Caenorhabditis elegans: one gene and its partners. The protein of the gene in region 3 purifies or fractionates together with the protein of the main gene of each other region. This does not show direct contact. Each region holds a gene or a part of one and is shown on either strand. Other genes may lie near its edges. The genes, in order: egc-2, C24H10.2, C05D11.13 and ctf-18.

Region 1 (3,927 bases), on a different chromosome or scaffold from region 3:
GATGCTCAAGCTGTATGTCGTGTCTATCGATATGGTCAACAGAAGAAAACATTTGTTTATCGTCTTATTATGGATAACTCAATGGAGCGATCGATTTTCAATCGACAAATTTCAAAACATGGACTACAACAAAGAGTAGTTGACGATGCACAAGTTGATGCAAATATTTCGCAAAAAGAATTGGAGACTCTTCTAATGTATGATGAGGCACAAGATGTTAATCATGACAAATGGAATACAGATGATTGGGATTTCGGAGATCCGGTTCTAGACTCAATCACTAAGAGAATGAGTCAAATGTTTGCCGGGAAACCGTTCCTTCATGAAACCTTGATAATGGAGTCAGAGCAATCACTCAGCGAGCAGGAAAAACGAGAAGCTCAATTACTTTTTGATAGAGAACGACGTATGGAGAACTATGATCCATTGAGTGGCCTGAGCAGTTCTAACTTTTATAACAATGCTCCTGGAAGCTCAATGGGAATGATGGGTCCACCACCAGTTCCGATGTTCAATAATAACATGCAAAATAGTTTCAATAATCATTGGCAACAATCTCCTAATCAGCTTGCACCCAATTTTGGATCTTATCCACCACAGCAATTTCCACAACCGATGCCAAACATGTCACAATTTCCACCTCATGGACCATCACCTCAAATTCCATCAATTCGTCCATCACCAATGCCTCACACGCTTCGAATGAATGTCAGTCAATTCCATCACCAAGGAGGTGGTCATACGATGACGTCATTCAACAATGGCTATCCGAATAATAACAATGGAGGAGCTATAGGAAACCCTCAACAAATGCTTCCTCCAAGAGATCCATCAGCTTTTCCGGGAGCTGTTATGAGCAAAATACCATCATTTTCCCCGGCTGGAGCAGTTCAACAATTGATTACTGATAGACGTGAGTTTGACGTTTAAGTTTTTTTGAAAATTCAAATTTTTAGAACTCGTTTTTCCCATTGTCGGACATAGAGATCAGCTTCATCAGGTTCAGGCAAATACACCAATACAGTTAGTTGTTCCGAAAAATGGATATTATGTGAAACTACGTGATGGAACAATTCTTGACGCTGTCGGAAGTGTTTTTGAGAATCGTTAGTTTACTAGAAAAAATTTCGTATAATTTTTTAAAATTTATAGATGCCCGTCAGCTTCGTGATATGTATCTAAGCAAAAATTTCAACCATGATCCGCAGCAGGTTCAAGAAGTCATCGATCTTGATTAACAACGTCTTGCATTTTTTTCTTTTGATGTACATTTCGTTTTTTATCATATAAAATACAACATCTATCTCAATGCAACATCCAATGAGATCTCTGATAATTCACTATCATTTTACTCAATTATTTTTCCTCTTATAGAGGCTCCTAAATTAATTTTAGGCAAGTTTCGAATTTCCACATTTCAACTTTGTCCACACTCTTCCCTTTTATCATTAGTATGTCAATTAATTAAATTTTTCTGTTTTTTCCAACACAGTAATCAGCTCCGCTGTTCGGCAAGCTGCCAATTGTGTTTTATACGCCTTCTCTTTTAATTTAATGAATAAATACGAATAATATTTAAATTATCGGATTCGCTTGAAAGAGAAATTGGAATAACATTTTTCCGCAGATCCCCGTTTTGTAGTGCCTCTTAATAACGCGTTTTTAAATACTGACTTGGTTACTGTAGGTTTTGGTCCCGACACGAAATTCTGAACTCGTTCGGCACGTTTCTTCAATTTTCTTCATTTCTCTCACCCATTTCTGATGAATTAATGGTTTTTAGATTAATTTTTAAATATTCAGCGTTCTGCCAGTTTCTCAAAATAATTTTTTTAGACATTTCGGTCGGATATGTCGGAATTGTCGAGTGAAATGAAGTCAATGGAAAACGGAATGTCGGCGAGAACGGTATTTTTTATCAAATTAATGACAATTTGTAAACTATTCATTTCAGGACAGACAACATTATCTTGAGAGAGCTCAATACTCTCCATGGCCAAAAACTCAAAATAGTGGAGCATTCGGAGCGCTAACTGATCAACCGAGAAAGTATCGAGGAGGATTTGGAGGAGGTGAAGGCTTCTCTGATTTTGGATCCGTTAGTGGACTTGGCGGTAGAATCCCCAGAAACTCCTCTCACCTAAACGACAGTTCTGGATTTGGTTCCGTACGAGGAGGGTACAGCAGTTATCGAGAAAGCAGATCATCTCGTGTTGCTGTTTCGGATGCTCTTTACATGAATAATGAACGTTGCGTGACACCTCTGCCATCTGAGAATATAATGGGTAGTCCACGGCGTGGATCTTTCCGAAGTTCGCCCCGATCCGATGGTATGGGATCTTCATCGAAGAGACCACGCTCTGGCCGCCGAACCGGTAGACGTGGGCGAGGTGGGCCAGGCCACTGCTTCCATTGTCAAGAGCATGGACACATTTCGAGAATGTGCCCGAAGAAGGTTGGAGAAACGGATGAACACGGAGATGGAAAAGATATCGAAGTGGAACCATTTGAGACGAAAGATTTACTCCAAGAAGACGCATCAAGATACTCTTCTAATATGAAGGCTTTGCATGGAGGTTATTGTTTGAATACTAGGAAAACGTAACAATTTTTATGTTTTCAGGTGGACTGTATCAAAGCAAGTTGGACAATCAAAAGGCCCGTGAGTCTTATTATGGAGGGTACGGCTACAGCATCAACAGTCTCACCCCAAGAAGTGTTGGCAGCGTGAGAAGTGGTTTCACAGCACCAATGATGTCGCCCGAAATTGACAAATTCTCAGAGCAGTTGGACAATGCTTTGAAGCTCAGCAATGTCGAGCCGGTAGCTCCGTCGCCATACGTGATGACTATCACTGGAAAAGGGCCAGCTGAAAAATTGATGAAAGAAGTGCCACCAGTTGCTCCAATCAACACTCTACAGAGCAGAGAAGGAGCCAAACGTGAGATTATCAAAATTCTATAATTGTATAATGTTCATTATTACAGAAATTTCTACGGAGACTTTGTCAATCGAGACACGCAGAACTGTGATGCGCGATGGAGAATTCCACTTCGAGGAGACGACTATCATCAATTTCCCACGAGTTCTTCCGCCCAACGTCCGTGTCATCGCTGCCCAGTTCGTGCCGGTCGCTTCACAAAATTCATAATTTCTGATAATTATGATGCTATCAAGGAAAATGTTTAATAATTACTATTGGGAACTCTGCCCAATTTGCAGCGTATTTTTACTGTTTTTCATTGTTGTTCCATTTATTGACTTCTAGGTATTGTTTTTTACGTTCTGGAATTGTTTCTGTCCTAAATTTGAAAACTTGTATTTTTGATTTGAGTCTTCAACCTCATTTCATAAAAGTGTTTCATGTTACTCTCGTTTCATAATTATACACACTCAAACTTGAACATTTTCTACAGTATACTTCATTCAAAGGAAATCTACGCATTTTCAGTAGAACTCGGAGGCGATCGTGGAATTGGCGGAGATTGGGCGAGTGGAGCGTCCGGAGATGGAGTTCTTGGCGGAGGCGGCGTCGTACTAGTAGTCATTCCCAATTTTTTGCGGATTGATTCAAGAGACATGACTTTATCTCTGGAAATATTGTAAACATGAAAAAACTTCTTCGCATATAAAAAACCAGCCGTGGACCGCACCTTCGGCGCGGCCCCCGACTTCTGGGGCTGAAAATTAATTTTTTATGAAACTACCGTAACCCTACAGTATTCCTACCGTACCACTATTGTACCACTACAGTACCCCAACTATATCCCTACACTAACCCTAACTCACTATCCCTCCAGAAGCCAAAACTTCACAGACTACAAAGGCTACATAGACTACAAACTATGGACACACAGAATAAGCGCTTTATATATAGTAAATGATACTTACTTCAAACTAACTTCTACTCCATATCCTTTCTGTGTC
Region 2 (4,170 bases), on a different chromosome or scaffold from region 3:
AAAGAGACGTTTTCAAACTGTCCAAATAACGGTCCACTCAAACAAAGGACCAAAATACTGGAATGATCTTATTTGAGCCATAGCCAAAAAACCGACAAAAGTAGCTAATATTCTAATATACGTAGACGGAGCCAATAGCAAAGTTCAGCATAGAAAATATTATTCAATACAAAAACTGTAAAAGCCTCATTAAAATTTGCTGAATATTCTCGTAAAATAAATATATTTGTTTTAAGTGATAAGGGTTTTCAAATTTGAAGAATTGAATAACGAAACTTGTAATTTTCTATCAAAAAAAACGCTTCAATAAATTGAAACTTCTTACTCAAAACTGAAGCTCGAATCTCAAGCGATCTGTATCTCAAGACATTATTAATTCCAAAATTTTTTCTGCGTTTTTGCTTCAAATTTTTGAAATTTTTAATTTTTGTAGGGGAAGTCTAAAAACGAGTAGCATCAAAATTAAGAAGAACATTCAAAAATCCTAATAAAATTTACATAGTTTTGATTTATTTAGTAATAATATAAATTTTTTAATGGTTTTAAATTTTAAATATCAGAAAATTTGTAATCTGATACAGATTGTTACTATACGGGCATTTGATTTGCAATCACAAAAACATGAACTACATTTGGAATCAATTTGAGGTGAAGTTTTTTAACATTCTAAATTATAACTGATGTTCAAAAATGGTTAAAATCTTCAAAAATTTCAGAAGAATATTCCAAACTATTCTATCATTCCGATAGTTTTAGGTACTTTCATAAATTGCAAAATACTTAGTCTTTATTTGTCCATTACTGTTTATTATGGTTATTCTTTGATTTCAGACCACCATCCTTGCATGTATTGATTCCAAATTAACTTTTGCTTTTGATCTTTCATTTTCCCCACCGTGTTAATTGATAACATATTTTTATCATTGAAACAGACCCTGGCCCGTCGTATCGGGAAACATCAGTGAATCGATAATGAAAAACGTCTCTCATTTCGTAAGCCTCACTAACCGATTGGCCCGGGCAATTTTGTTGGCCGCGGCCCAGGGACGTTTCGAAGACAGAGACGACTCATGCTCACCGCTGCTCTGCTCTCTTTTCGTTCTTCTTGACATAGGGACGCGCTCAGAAACGTACGGAGCGGAGCGGAGCGAGTAGAGAGTTCCACAGCGCACATTCACACTCACAACCATCTGCGCTCACACCACTCACAAACACTCATGGAGGCAAAGGAAAGGACGAGCGCGCGCGCGCAATTGAGTGCCGTTCTGTGTATCACCAAAATCTTTTGAACGTTCAGTTTTTCTTAGTGCTTTTTCACTTTTTGCACATTGGGTGTACTTTTCATATATATTTTTGGTTCTATTATTGATAAGGGGATGTATTCGTTTTTTTTTCTTCATCCAACCCAGAACGTTTATATATTCAAAGCTAATTCATCTCTATTGAAAAAAAAACCAATTCTTTATTTTCAAAAAACCACGACATCTCTTATCTGTCTCGTTTTTCTTTGAAACTTTTTTTGGGCGGTGCCAGCTTGATTGAAAATACAGTTTTGTGTTGCTATCATTGTTGAATTTTTGAATTTCGCTTTGATAAACATTTTCATTTTCAGACATTGACATCTCCAGCTTGAGCCATGAATGGAAGCCAAAGGGTGCCGGAAATTTCACAAAAAATAAAAATGGTTAGTTAGTACTTACGCCTTTTGAATTAATAATGAGATTCAATTATTTTTCAGACCGGAGGATCAAAGCTGTTTGATGACGCCGTGACTGTGCAAATTAACATGAAAGAGGTTTGTGTTCTTGAGAAAAAAACGCTTTTTCGTGAAACCCACTAACTAAATTTCAAATAGCATTTCCCTTTTCCGGCTGTTCAGCAGCTGCCAGATAGCAAAAAGCCGACTAAGAAAAATGGCTCATTTTCGTGCTGGAAGAATGGAAAGAATATAGTTTTGGAGGTGGGGTAGAATCAGTCGAAATTGCCTCAGAAATCCAAATTTATCAATTAGATTTGATTAGAAACATTTCAAAATTTTAAATGACTGTTTAATATGTTCAGAAAAATTTAGAAACTTCGCCGCAACATTTAACCAAATTAAGCCAACTTTTAATTGTTTTCAGTGCTCATTTGTTGGTCATCCAATAGGTTAATCCCAACTTTACCCTAAATTTGCAAATATCTAGCTCAAGTCTAGCATTTTTTGCAATTGACATTTCTAGAATTGAAAAATATTTTCAAATAATGAAACTATTTTTCGTTTTCATGACCTATTATTTGCAAACAATTCTCAATTTCAGAACAAAAATATTGAAAAAGTCAGCAACTTCCGACGGTTTAACTCTAACCAGGCTCGTGTTGAAAAAGACAGAAACCAAGCTTCGATGATTTTTGATACTGACGACATTGACTCAGGAAATGGATCGAAAAATTCAAAAATGGAAGTGAAAATTACAATTAATATGGTACAAATTTTCAGGAATTCATATATACATAATAATTTTTAATTCATTTTCCAGAAACAAATTGAAAAGCATCATCGGGAAATCGATTCTTACATTTCGCCGTTTTCTCCATCACCGGATTCAATTTTTCTGCGCATTCCATTGTTGCCACAAGACTATGCGCGCATTGAAGAAGCAAGAGCCTCGCTTGACCAACTTGTTCGCAAATGTGTAAGTGATTTTTTGAAATTAAGATATATAAAAAATATAATAAAATTAATTTCAGCACCAAATGACTCCAAAAATCATCCCACCCAACGACGCGAAAAATTTCCTTCAAAACCTTCGACGGATCGATGTGCGTTGCAGTGCGTTGTACCCAAGGCCACCGGCACCTGGAGACAAGGAGAAAAAGAGCTACCGAATGTGTCCATGCTTTGAGCCGGAAATTGAGGACATTGAACGTCTCGTTGTTCACTATGACGGTGTTTTCCAAGCCATCAAGTATTTCCACAATCTTGACCTCTTCATGGAGCACCAACGAGCTGAGAAGAGAAATCTTTTCGGATTGGACTGTTCGGATGATGAGGATGATCATTTTGAAGATGAAGAAGAGTATGAGCATGAGTGTCGTCATCACTGTACTTGTAACAATGAGGATGAAGAAGATGTGAAGATGGGACAAGATAATGATCGTAAGAAACTCGAGAGCAAAATGATCAAAAAATTCGAACAGAAAGGTTTCTATTACAATGCGGAGAAGCAGCGAGCACTTCTACGGGAGTCTCTCCAAAAACTTGCTCTGAATTCTGGACCTGGATCTGGATCTGGATCTGGGCTCTGATAACGACTTTCAAAACTTATAGTACAATTTTATTCTGGAATCCGACTTTCCCCTTGCTTCAAAACTTGATCCCAAAATGCTGTATATTCAAACTCAAATCCCTTCTCTTTCAATTTTGTAACCTTTCCCATTGTTTTTCCGATTTTCCTTGCAACGCATTGTATATCCCGTTTATTTTTAAAAGTAAGCCAACAATTTCGAGTGTGAACCAATTCCAGATTTCCGCGTGAAACAGGTCCCTCCGTTTGTAATTACTGAACATGACTAAGAGAAGTGAGCAAAACATCGATTGTTGTAAATTTATACTTCTCGACACTAATTTCTATAGAGCATTTTAATTGGACAAAATAAAGTGAAATGTAAAAAAAGGATTTTAGGATAGCATGCATCATGAAAAAGTTACATGGATTGAAGGAGAATCCGTTCCTCAAACGCTAGGTGCTGCGAATCTGGGATACAGGTACAGCTAGGTGACAGTATGGTGATGCGATCATTCAGTCGTGAATTGCTAAACTTTATAATTAAACTGTGTGCCTAGGTGATAAAGCTCGTGGCCTCTTAGTCCACCACTACCGACTGAGCTATAAAATTTGTTAATACATATTTCAGGATTCATTGGAATATACAAAAAATTTATTTACGGCGTCGCTTTGCCTTTTTCCATTTGCTCTGAATGGAAGGTTCTTCACTTGGTACCGTTTTATTCATATCTTAAAGGTGGAGTGACGACAATGGGGACTTTGTCTAAATACAGTCATGATGATCCTAAACGATTAAATATCATGATACTTCGAATAACTTTCGATTTTTCAAAATTGTAAACACTGAGTAATTGACATTCTTTGACAGTAAATAAATATATTTCTAAAATTTTATTGAATA
Region 3 (3,655 bases):
AAAATGGCAAGATATTATGATGAAGATCACTTTCTGATCAGAAACAACGAGTGAACCATGGACGGTGCCGTTTTGGGAATGAAAATGGGGAGAGAAAAGCAAATTGCAACTTTGAGCGGGCAAAATTTTTACAAATTCAAATATTCGCGCCATGCGTATTTTACAACTGATCCCACGCGAAAGTGCACACACAAACCTGGGAGCTGGCTCCGGCAAATAATCCAGTTGCTGCTCTTCTGCTCACTATCCTTGCAAACATTTTGTGCCTGAAAATATTAAAATAACAAATAAAATTCTAGAACTTCAGAATAAATGTGTTAAAACAGAAATCGACTATCGATCAGACCACTGATCGTTATCAGTCTTATCAGTTTCTCTGTTTTGTTGCAAACAAGAGATGAAACTTGCCGTTTTTATTGCGATTCAACAGAATTTAAAGACTGATAGGTGGAAATGAGCGGACCGTTGATTCAAAAAATTAATACGATTTTATCGGTTTTAAAAGCAAAAGGTCAAACAACAAACTACTTATTTATTAAAAAAATTTTCAATTAATTTTTATAGACCCGAAAGAGTTCCATCGCTCAATGATCCCGTGATGACTGCAAGTGATTCTTCACTTTGCCCTGCTTGCTTCAAAATTCGATTTTGACGTTTTCGTGCAGCATCTTGGATTTTCCTAGCTGATTTTTGCTCTGAAGTCTCCGTCTGCAAATATTGCCGTCTTCTTGCTGCATCACGCTGTCGCCGATTTTCAGCTTCCTCTGGTGTTTCATTCTTAATAGCATCCCGACGTCTCTGAGCATTCTTGGCTCTACGCAATTCAGCTTCTTCTGGAGTTTCAGCCAGGAGACTCTTCCTTCTCCGTTCCGCATCCTTATTCCTTCTTTCCTGAGCTTTTTCGAATGACTCCCTTTGCAGATACTGGCGTCGATGCTCTGCAGCCTTTATTCTTCGATTATTTGCCTGATCTTCCGACTCTTGCATTCTTTCCATTTTTTTTCTTTCAGCTTGCCTTTTCAATCGTTCTCTATATTCTTCTTCTGTCTCTTCTGAGCATCTCTTCCTTTTATAGTCTGCAGCCTTGGCAAGACGTGTGTGAGTCTCCTCTGATGTTTCACGAGCTCTTCTCAGACGTTTCCGATGTGCTTCTTTGGAGAGTCTGCATTCTCTAGATCCTTCTTGAGGTTCGGATGAACTTGGAATATCCGTAATATGAGGTCTGAAACTTAAAAAAAATTTTAATATGCTATTTACTACTCTTACTCATCACTTGAACCAGGTAAAAATGTTGCTATAAAATTCTGAATTGTTTCTTCTAGGCCAGCATTTTGTGGACTTTCAGATTTATTCCCATTACTCTTCTCATCTTCTTCTTCGTCTTCGACAATATTTTTGCAATCTTTTCTACTCATTCTGAACTTACAAATATACATTAATTTTTCAGAAAACTTGAAAATCTACATTACTAAATACACAGACAGAGGTTTTGCGACTCCTGCGCCAAGAATACGGTGCCGATTCTCGACACGACATGTTTTAGTTAAATGAGAAAAACTTGTGCGCCTTCAAGGAGTACTGTAATTTTTTAATCTAGTTGGTGTGGAACCGTTCATGATTTTTCATACTTTTCTTACGTTCTGTTAAAATTCGTGTTTTTTTTTGAGTTTTCAATAGTTAAGGATGTTTTTCATCGGAATACGATGGAAAATCGATGAACATTCCGCAACTACAAAAGTTTGTAATTAAAGTACTCTCCAAAGGTGTGCACCGTTTTGAAATTATCACATTAAAAAAAATATCATGTCGAGACTGGGTACCGTTTTTGGCGCAAAAATCTCAAAATTACGCGTCGGAGTAATAAGAAAAATATAAATAAGGCTCAAAGAAAACAGGAGAATCGATGACGGCTTTCTGTGTGTCTGTGTGTCTTCATATCTTCATTGTCGGTGTTTCTGTGTGTATGTCTGTCCAGAGACAAACATACACGAGCGCAGACGTCTTGTTTGATTATCTGCGTCTCTTCTTCTATACAACACTTTGCAATCTTTTCAGAAAAGGATACTGTAGTGGGATGAATGTATATATGTACCACAATTATGGCAATATTGAAGCTTTTCCGTTCAAGTACACACTAATCAGAAATCTATTCATTTGGTTTGGATAAAAATGTAATGGCATTACAAAAGATGGGGAACACGAAAATGAGAGAAAATTGAGAGAAACCGTTGAAGAACAGAAATACATAATCTACGAGTCGATAGTGGCGAATAAATAAGTACAAAAATTATACACAAACATAAACGAGAAGCTAAAGGATTCACATTCCCTCGTATTTTGGGCCACCACCTCCTTCTGGTGTAACCCAGTTAATGTTTTGTTGAGGATCCTTGATGTCGCATGTCTTGCAGTGAATGCAATTTTGAGCATTGATTTGGAGACGCTTCTTTGATTCATCAGCTTCGGATGGGACGAATTCATAGACTCCTGGAAAAAAAAGTTATTTATGTGTTTTTAAAAGTCAAATTTGTATTAAAATCTCACCAGCTGGACAGAATCTAGCCTCCGGGCCACCATATACTGCCAAATTCACATCAAGTGGAACTTGATCATTTTTCAATGTCAAATGAGCAGGTTGATCTTCTGTATGGTTGGTTCCAGTAAGAGATACAGATGTAAGAAGATCAAAAGTTAGCTTTCCATCTGGTTTTGGGTAATCGATTTCTTTTGCATCCTTCACTGGAATGAGCTTCTCATTATCCTTCTTTCCGTGTCCAAGAGTCCATGGTTCAATTCCTCGACCGAAAACATAGAATATTCCAGAATAGATCAGTCCTCCAATGTATCCCAATGAAGTATTGAATGATGGACGAATATTTCTGGTTGCTTTGAGCTCTTTAACAACATAAGTATCACGAATATTCTTGTCATATGTAGCTGGATCAATCGTTTGCACATCCTCTCCCTTTTGTTGAATATCCTCGAAAATTGATTCAGCAGCCACCATTCCACTTTTCATTGCATTATGAGTTCCCTTCAGTTTAGCGACATTCAAGAAACCAGCTGAGCATCCAACAAGACATCCTCCGGGGAAATGAAGCTTCGGGATACTTTGGAATCCTCCTTCATTGAGAGCTCGTGCTCCGTACCCAATTCGTTTTCCTCCTTCCAATTGTTTAGAAATCGATGGATGAGTTTTGTATTTTTGGAATTCTTTGTATGGATTGAGATTTGGATTCGCGTAATCAAGAGCAACAACGAAACCAACGGAAACAAGTGGTTGTCCTTGATCCTCGATATGGTACAAGAAGGATCCTCCGTATTGATCAACATTCTGAAAAATCATTTTTTAGAGATTAAATTCTAGAATATATCTTTTAATCTGAAACACTCAAAAAAAAAGCTCACATTTTACTAGATTTTTCAATTTTTCTTAATTTTTTAGATCTTCAGAAACTTACCAATGGCCATCCCATAGTATGCTCAACATAACCAGGTCTATGCTTTGCTGGATCAATTTCCCAAAGTTCTTTGAGTCCAATTCCATAAGTCATTGCATGTGTTCTCAAATCAAATTTATCGAGAACTTGCTTGCTCAAATGTCCTCTACATCCTTCAGCGAAAATTGTGCATTTCGCGTGGAATTCCATACCAC
Region 4 (6,203 bases), on a different chromosome or scaffold from region 3:
GTTCTCTGAATATATTACCCAATGGATCTCCAGTTATATTCTGAATATTTTTCATGAAAGGCGCTGAAGTTAATTGAGTATTCCATATTTGTAGAACTCCTCGAATTTGAAGAACATTTTTGAATAAAGTGATCAATTGTTCACTTTTCATTTCAGAATTTTGATCGATACGAAATCTTCCAATAATTTGAGAGCATTCAGTTGGAAATAAGCTCTCTTTTGTGATATAATGAACATTAAATGAACAATTGTCTGAATCAACTTCCGATAAATAAAAGAGCCACATAAATATATGAAAAAACATTCTCAAAATATTTTTGTTTGAGAATAAAGTTTGTGGAAGTAGGAATCGGTGAAGATATTTAATTGCATATTTCAATTGAGTTGCCATGAAAACAAGTGACATTTTCGATGAAGCTGAAATGCTATTATAGCATTCTTAATTTTGAAATGTGAATTCTATGAACTATTAAGAGATCATGTTTTTGTTCATATCAATTTCGAACCCCGCATTATTTTCTGCAGAAAATTAACAATGTTTTAGTCTGAACTTAAAAGGAATGTATTGTTCATTGGGGTGATAAAATCGGAAAATGAGCAAAAGATCATAGGAACGTGTATACAGCGCTGAAACAACTGAAAAAAGTAGTATACAGCAAAAATAGTGTCATTTTACAAACAAATACTTTGAAATTAAGGTTAAGAATCACCAAAAAGTATAGAGTTGAGTTGTTGCATGGTGACTTTCTTTTTGACAGCACTACTGTCTCCATCCTGATGATTAAATACTATATCTGTTAGTCTTCCATTGTGTAATCTTTTCATTGCTCCGGCAGATAGTCTCTTCTTCTTTTTGCTTTCTGATTCAACGATTGCTTTGATTTTATCGGCATTCGTAGAAATTCGTTCAGTATTCGAGGTACTCTCTGTCAGACGAACACGCATAAGAGTGATCTGAAAATTTTTAAGAATTAAATTAAATTCTGAAAATAAAATTTGCCATGGCCTGGGCAGAACACGGAGCTTTTTTTTTGCTCAAATAGACTGAGACTTCCCAAACAATTTTATGGTGTTTCAGAATTTCGAATTTCGAATTTGTTAAAATCTGAGATTTTCCCAAGCTTGTCGTAGCAGCTGAAATACAGTTTTTATTAAAGGGTGAAAATTTGATTTAAAAACTGTATTCCAGTTGTTGCGACAATTTTCGAAAATGCAGAACGCCACAAAAATGTTGAAATTTTTTTTGAGAAATCTCATTTTCAAAATCGAGTGTCTCGGGCCGGTTTTAATCTATTTGATGAGAAAACCTACAAACTCTACTCCTTATTTTAAGAAAGCACAAAGTGTGAATTCAAAACTTTCAGGCAATGAAAGAAAATTAATTTAAAACAATAAATACAAACCTTATGAGCAATCATTTGTCTTGTCGCATTGGCAAGATACGGCCGCTTTGGTCCATCCAGTGGAAACATTGTCAAAATATCAATTGAAGGAGTAAATAACCAATTAACTTGATCTTTTACCATTGTGGCAGTGTATGTCAAACCATAATCACACATAATCGAGACAGTTTGATTGAAAGTCGCAAGTTCCCGTTGATTATACAATGACTCATTCATCTGAAAATTTAAAAATTAAAAAAAAAGAGAACAACCAGCGATTGTTACCGGTTTGATAGGTGGCTGAACAATATTGACAATGAATGGCAAAATATCCAGCAAAAGCTCTTTTTTTGGTGCACCTCTAGTCGATTGTCCACATGATCGAACTGCGCTGATTGTTTCTTCCGATTCCTTCGTTTTTTGGAAAATATTTTGTTCCAACTGTGGATAGGCGATCGGAACACGAGCATGAGTCGCAATGTTGAGATGGAGGGAAACGAAGAATGAAAAAACATACTTTAGAACCGACCAGTTTTGAAGACTGTGTACCTGAAAACAAGAATTTATAATAGTTGTTTAATACTAATAGTAATTAAAACTCACGATTTTCTGAATATCATCATAGAACAAAAACCATGTAGACGCTTTGCGTATTACTCCAATTGGAAGAGTTACAAGATAATTTGCATGTAAACCAGACACAAATCGTTCTTCTCCTCCATGGTCTGCCGATATTCGTTCGATATCAAATATTCTTTCTCGTACAGATTTGATTCCTCCCTTTGCGTCTGTATGTTTAGATAACTCAAGAATTGACGACCAATGTTCGAAAATAGAAGCAGATCCGCCTTTCTCTTTCTCAATAACCTAAAAAACAGATTTCTATTAATATCAAAAAATATACAGCGTCATACCTCATGGATCAACTTCATTCCAATTGCTCGATTCGATTTTCGTGCTGCCACCGCTACCCATTGAAGAGTATTAATTGAATGTCTCATATCATTTGCACACAATTCGCATAACTTTCTCAAAGTACTCAAATCACATCGAAGACGTTCTCGGTCACAAATTTCTTCCAGTCGTTTTGCTAAAACATCTTGTTTTGTTGCGACTAGTTGCACACACCAGGCGACTCCTCGTAAATCACGCAATGCTGGCGTATACCTTTAAAAACAAATAATTAGAAAATCAAACACATCTTACGAATACATTGAGTTATCCCGATAAAGGGGGTTTGTGTTCCGATTTTTACCAAAATCTGAAACCAAGAATTTTAGTTTTTGATTTCTTTCGATTTTTCGAAAAATATCTTGAAAGTTTGATCATTTTTATTCTATTTTATTTTTATTCATGTTTTCTTGTGTTTTTATCAACAAAAACAGAATTTGATTTCAAAAAAAAAAAATAATTTTATGGTTCACTGATTTTTTTTCTTCGAAAAATTGTCGTTTTTCGATTTTTAGATTTTCAGTGAAAAAAATCGTCAAAATTTTCGCTGACATCTTTGTTCCCGATTAGGACTGTCGTTTTTAGTTGGTGTTTCTTGCAAAAATGGATTTTTGGACTAAAAAACAAAAGATTATCTTTCAAAAATGTAGGTATGATGGAAAAATCAAAAGTGTTTTTTTTTTCGGTTTTTTGGAGAAAATTGGTTTTTGGTTGAAAATGTTTTTGCAACTGTTCCCGATATCCTATTATATATTTTCTTTCTGTGTCACTGAAGCCATAAAATAACTTACAAATTATTGCAAATTCCAATAATGGGTCGCCGAATGGCTTTTTTGCCTGTTGCTTGAATACACCGAACCAAATGACGAATAGTATCAATTGGTGTTCCATCAATTTCATCAAGAATCAGGCATGCTGGCCGTTGATCTGCATCAAGTGTTCGAGATGTTTTTACAGCTCCTTCTAGTACTTTATTTAAATCTGCGACTGTTCGAGCATCACTTGCATTTACATCAATTGTTGAATAGCCTGCTTGACGAGCGACAATTCGTGCTAGTGTACTTTTACCGAGACCAGCCGGGCCAGAAAGAAGCAACATTTTCGATGATGGACGCCGAATTTTGCCATTATCCATGTGTAGTACTTCTCGTTCTTTTTCACCGAGGCTTGCTAGTAAATCGTCGACTTTTTGATGGAACACACACTCGTCCCACATTTTCAGCCATGTAAGAATATTTCGATTGACAGTCTGCAATATCGTGACTTCTTTTTTTAAAATAATGTAATTCCTTACACTGTCCGAGAGCAAATCTGAGAAATTTTTGGCTTCGTACTTGTTCACCCATAATGATGATTCTGGATGAGATTTATTATTTTCATATTCAGACGGTGTTTCAGTTTCTTTAAGCATGCGTGAAAACTCGGCTTCCTGTTCTTTAACGCGAGATTCTTCTTTCAACTTGCTGAAAACTATAAAAGTATTCAATTTTCTAGTGAAACTATTACCTAAGACGTTCGGATTCCTGACAAATCGACTGAAAAGCTCGAAAACCGACCCTCGAACGGGTTGCTTGTTGGGTAATCGATTCTACTAACGGAACAGAAAGACGATCATCACGGAAAGTTCGAATATAAAATCGTTGCCCGTTGACGACATCACTGATACCAATCCAAGGTGAACCATCAGTTACCGGATTTCGCATGATTTCCTGAATTCAATGATAAAAATATAATCTTTCAAGGAAAAGTAATAACCTGTCGTCTTCTATATCTCCGTTCCATTTCTAGCTCACAAAGTGAAGAAATTGTCTGCTCTCCGCTTTGAAAATCGTCAAAAGCATTAGAATGATGATTTTCATTCATTTTTCTTTCAGCTTGAGCAGCTGCTTCGTTGATTTTCTGTTCCAAGCTTTCGAGGGCTCTTCTCTTAACAGCATTTACTTGTGACTTTTGTAATACTTCACTGGAAACTGTTTCCATTCTCATATGCCAATCTAAATATATAATTTAATTGGAAAACCTTCTTTTTGACTGACCCATTGGATGTGAACGTCTTCCATATTGATCAAATACGTCTTCTACTTCATTCAAGCGTCTTTTTCTTTTACCATATCCAACTTCTTCGAGAGCATTCCTAACTTCATTGATTCTTTGATTTTCAGAGTCTCCATTCGGAACTACAGCTAGCTGATCCTCATCATCTCTTAAAATTCAGCGAATGTAAAACTACTTCTGCTTCTCAACATAAAGATCTTACGGATATTCAAGTTGCCCATCATCGTCGGCAAACCCAGAATGCAGTACATTGTAGTCATCATCCATGTCTTGCTGTATCCATTAGAAATGTTAGAAACACAATCTCACAACAATAAGTACAATACACTGTTACTTGACACACTACATATAAAAAAAACAAATTGAGAAACTTGAATAATTTAGATACAAAACTTTATTTTAATTCCAACGTGCCAAAATGGGGGTAAGAACTTGAGTACAAAGAGTACTCCCGAACACCAATGAAGGAAACAATAACGGGGGCTTGTAAAAGGAGAAGGAAAGTGGTAATATATTAAAACAACATTCAAATACAACTTGGATATTCGGTGGTGGGATGATGTCTGATTGCAACTTGTACTCGAAAAGAGTAAACTCAGATGGGATCACGGTCGTCAATCACCGAAAACCGGGGAGATAGGATGTGAAAATGGGATGCGGGCTGATTGGATTGGATTGTTGAGAGATCTACTAAAACGCTACACGCCATAAAATTCAGATACCAGAATCTTCTTACTTAAATCATCATTATTAGAACGGTGAGGAAGGAAAGGAGAAACAATAAATAGGAAAATGAGAAGGATAGGTACAGAATCTAATGGATGTGCAATTCTTACAAGAAGGAAAAAGGAGAACGGAAAGCTTCTAATTTTGTCCCGCATTTTGGAAACCGCTGCGCATACCACCTCGTGGAGCACCACCCGAACCGCCACGGCGGAAGAATTGTCCACCGCGTGGTTGGAAACCTCCACGTCCTCCTCGGAATCCGCCGCCTTGTGGTTGATCACGTTGCTCACTAATTTGAGCATGTCCGTCAAATCCGAATGCATCCAGTTTGAGTGGAAGCTTCCACACGCCTTGCTCATCCTTTGTAGCCGCTTCGAAAATGGCTTTTACTCCGGCCTTGTTACGCATGGTAATAAATGCAAAGGCATGTTTCGATGTGTCGTTCGGACTGTCAAGAACCTTGCGCGGCATGCGAACCTCCTCGATTTCTCCATATTCTTAAAATGAAAATTTAGTGAACTATTGGGACTATTAATTTGCTTACTGTAGAACACCTGCTTGATTTCCGATTCAGCCTGAGCTGTGTTGCTGGGGACAATCTCTCGAGTGATTCCTCCCAAATAGATCTTACGCTCATTTAGGTTGGCATCTGAACTTTCCTGAGCTTGGCGCAATTCATTAGCTGGGTGCGACTGTCTCTGTTGCTGATAAAGAGGAGCATGCGATCCTTGTTGTTGCTGATGCATGGAAGGCTGCATGTGGTGCATTTGTGTTTGCTGATGGATTTCTGAAAAATAAATAATCTGAGACTAGCCCGATCATCTTTCGTTTTTTCAACTCACGCTGTCCTTGTCCATAACTTTGTTGTTGTGGGGGCTGAGACTTTCCACCTCCACCCACAAGATTAGCCCACGTTTTCTGAACCTTTGGCTGTTCTTGAACAGGCTCAGGAACTGGGGCTCTCTGCTGTGGGGGCTGTTGGGCAAGCTGTGGTTTCTGCGGTGTTTTCGCTACCTCCTTTTCCACAGATTTCGGAGTGTCTTGCTTCACTATACGATCTTCAGCTTTCTTTGGCGTTTGCTGCTTTGG

Evidence for each region.
Region 1: the proteins of C05D11.13 (region 3) and egc-2 fractionate together in Caenorhabditis elegans (co-fractionation; one large-scale study listed by BioGRID). This does not show direct contact.
Region 2: the proteins of C05D11.13 (region 3) and C24H10.2 fractionate together in Caenorhabditis elegans (co-fractionation; one large-scale study listed by BioGRID). This does not show direct contact.
Region 4: the proteins of C05D11.13 (region 3) and ctf-18 fractionate together in Caenorhabditis elegans (co-fractionation; one large-scale study listed by BioGRID). This does not show direct contact.

What each region holds. Positions count from the first base shown.
Region 1 is NC_003282.8:8,899,810-8,903,736, forward strand, and holds egc-2 (CCHC-type domain-containing protein), read left to right. Parts: upstream 1-1,836; 5' UTR 1,837-1,851; coding exon 1,852-1,908; intron 1,909-1,954; coding exon 1,955-2,576; intron 2,577-2,623; coding exon 2,624-2,941; intron 2,942-2,987; coding exon 2,988-3,151; 3' UTR 3,152-3,368; downstream 3,369-3,927. Other genes in the region: rad-54.L2 (Helicase ARIP4), read left to right, coding at 1-913, 957-1,106, 1,153-1,238; Putative serine/threonine-protein phosphatase C27B7.6, read right to left, coding at 3,438-3,591, 3,892-3,927.
Region 2 is NC_003284.9:5,063,008-5,067,177, forward strand, and holds C24H10.2 (uncharacterized protein), read left to right. Parts: upstream 1-1,594; 5' UTR 1,595-1,636; coding exon 1,637-1,684; intron 1,685-1,738; coding exon 1,739-1,795; intron 1,796-2,300; coding exon 2,301-2,465; intron 2,466-2,519; coding exon 2,520-2,675; intron 2,676-2,730; coding exon 2,731-3,288; 3' UTR 3,289-3,656; downstream 3,657-4,170.
Region 3 is NC_003281.10:6,442,557-6,446,211, forward strand, and holds C05D11.13 (Vicilin-like seed storage protein At2g18540), read right to left. Parts: upstream 2,031-3,655; 5' UTR 1,850-2,030; intron 1,417-1,849; 5' UTR 1,416-1,416; coding exon 1,267-1,415; intron 1,229-1,266; coding exon 559-1,228; 3' UTR 501-558; downstream 1-500. Other genes in the region: mel-32 (Serine hydroxymethyltransferase), read right to left, coding at 197-259; let-721 (Electron transfer flavoprotein-ubiquinone oxidoreductase, mitochondrial), read right to left, coding at 2,321-2,487, 2,545-3,334, 3,462-3,655.
Region 4 is NC_003282.8:10,121,984-10,128,186, forward strand, and holds ctf-18 (AAA+ ATPase domain-containing protein), read right to left. Parts: upstream 4,662-6,203; 5' UTR 4,656-4,661; coding exon 4,591-4,655; intron 4,537-4,590; coding exon 4,370-4,536; intron 4,328-4,369; coding exon 4,089-4,327; intron 4,043-4,088; coding exon 3,840-4,042; intron 3,797-3,839; coding exon 3,628-3,796; intron 3,583-3,627; coding exon 3,125-3,582; intron 2,550-3,124; coding exon 2,297-2,549; intron 2,250-2,296; coding exon 1,986-2,249; intron 1,932-1,985; coding exon 1,668-1,931; intron 1,620-1,667; coding exon 1,404-1,619; intron 955-1,403; coding exon 700-954; 3' UTR 554-699; downstream 1-553. Other genes in the region: irld-21 (Receptor L-domain domain-containing protein), read right to left, coding at 19-304; Ras GTPase-activating protein-binding protein gtbp-1, read right to left, coding at 5,253-5,611, 5,659-5,901, 5,957-6,203.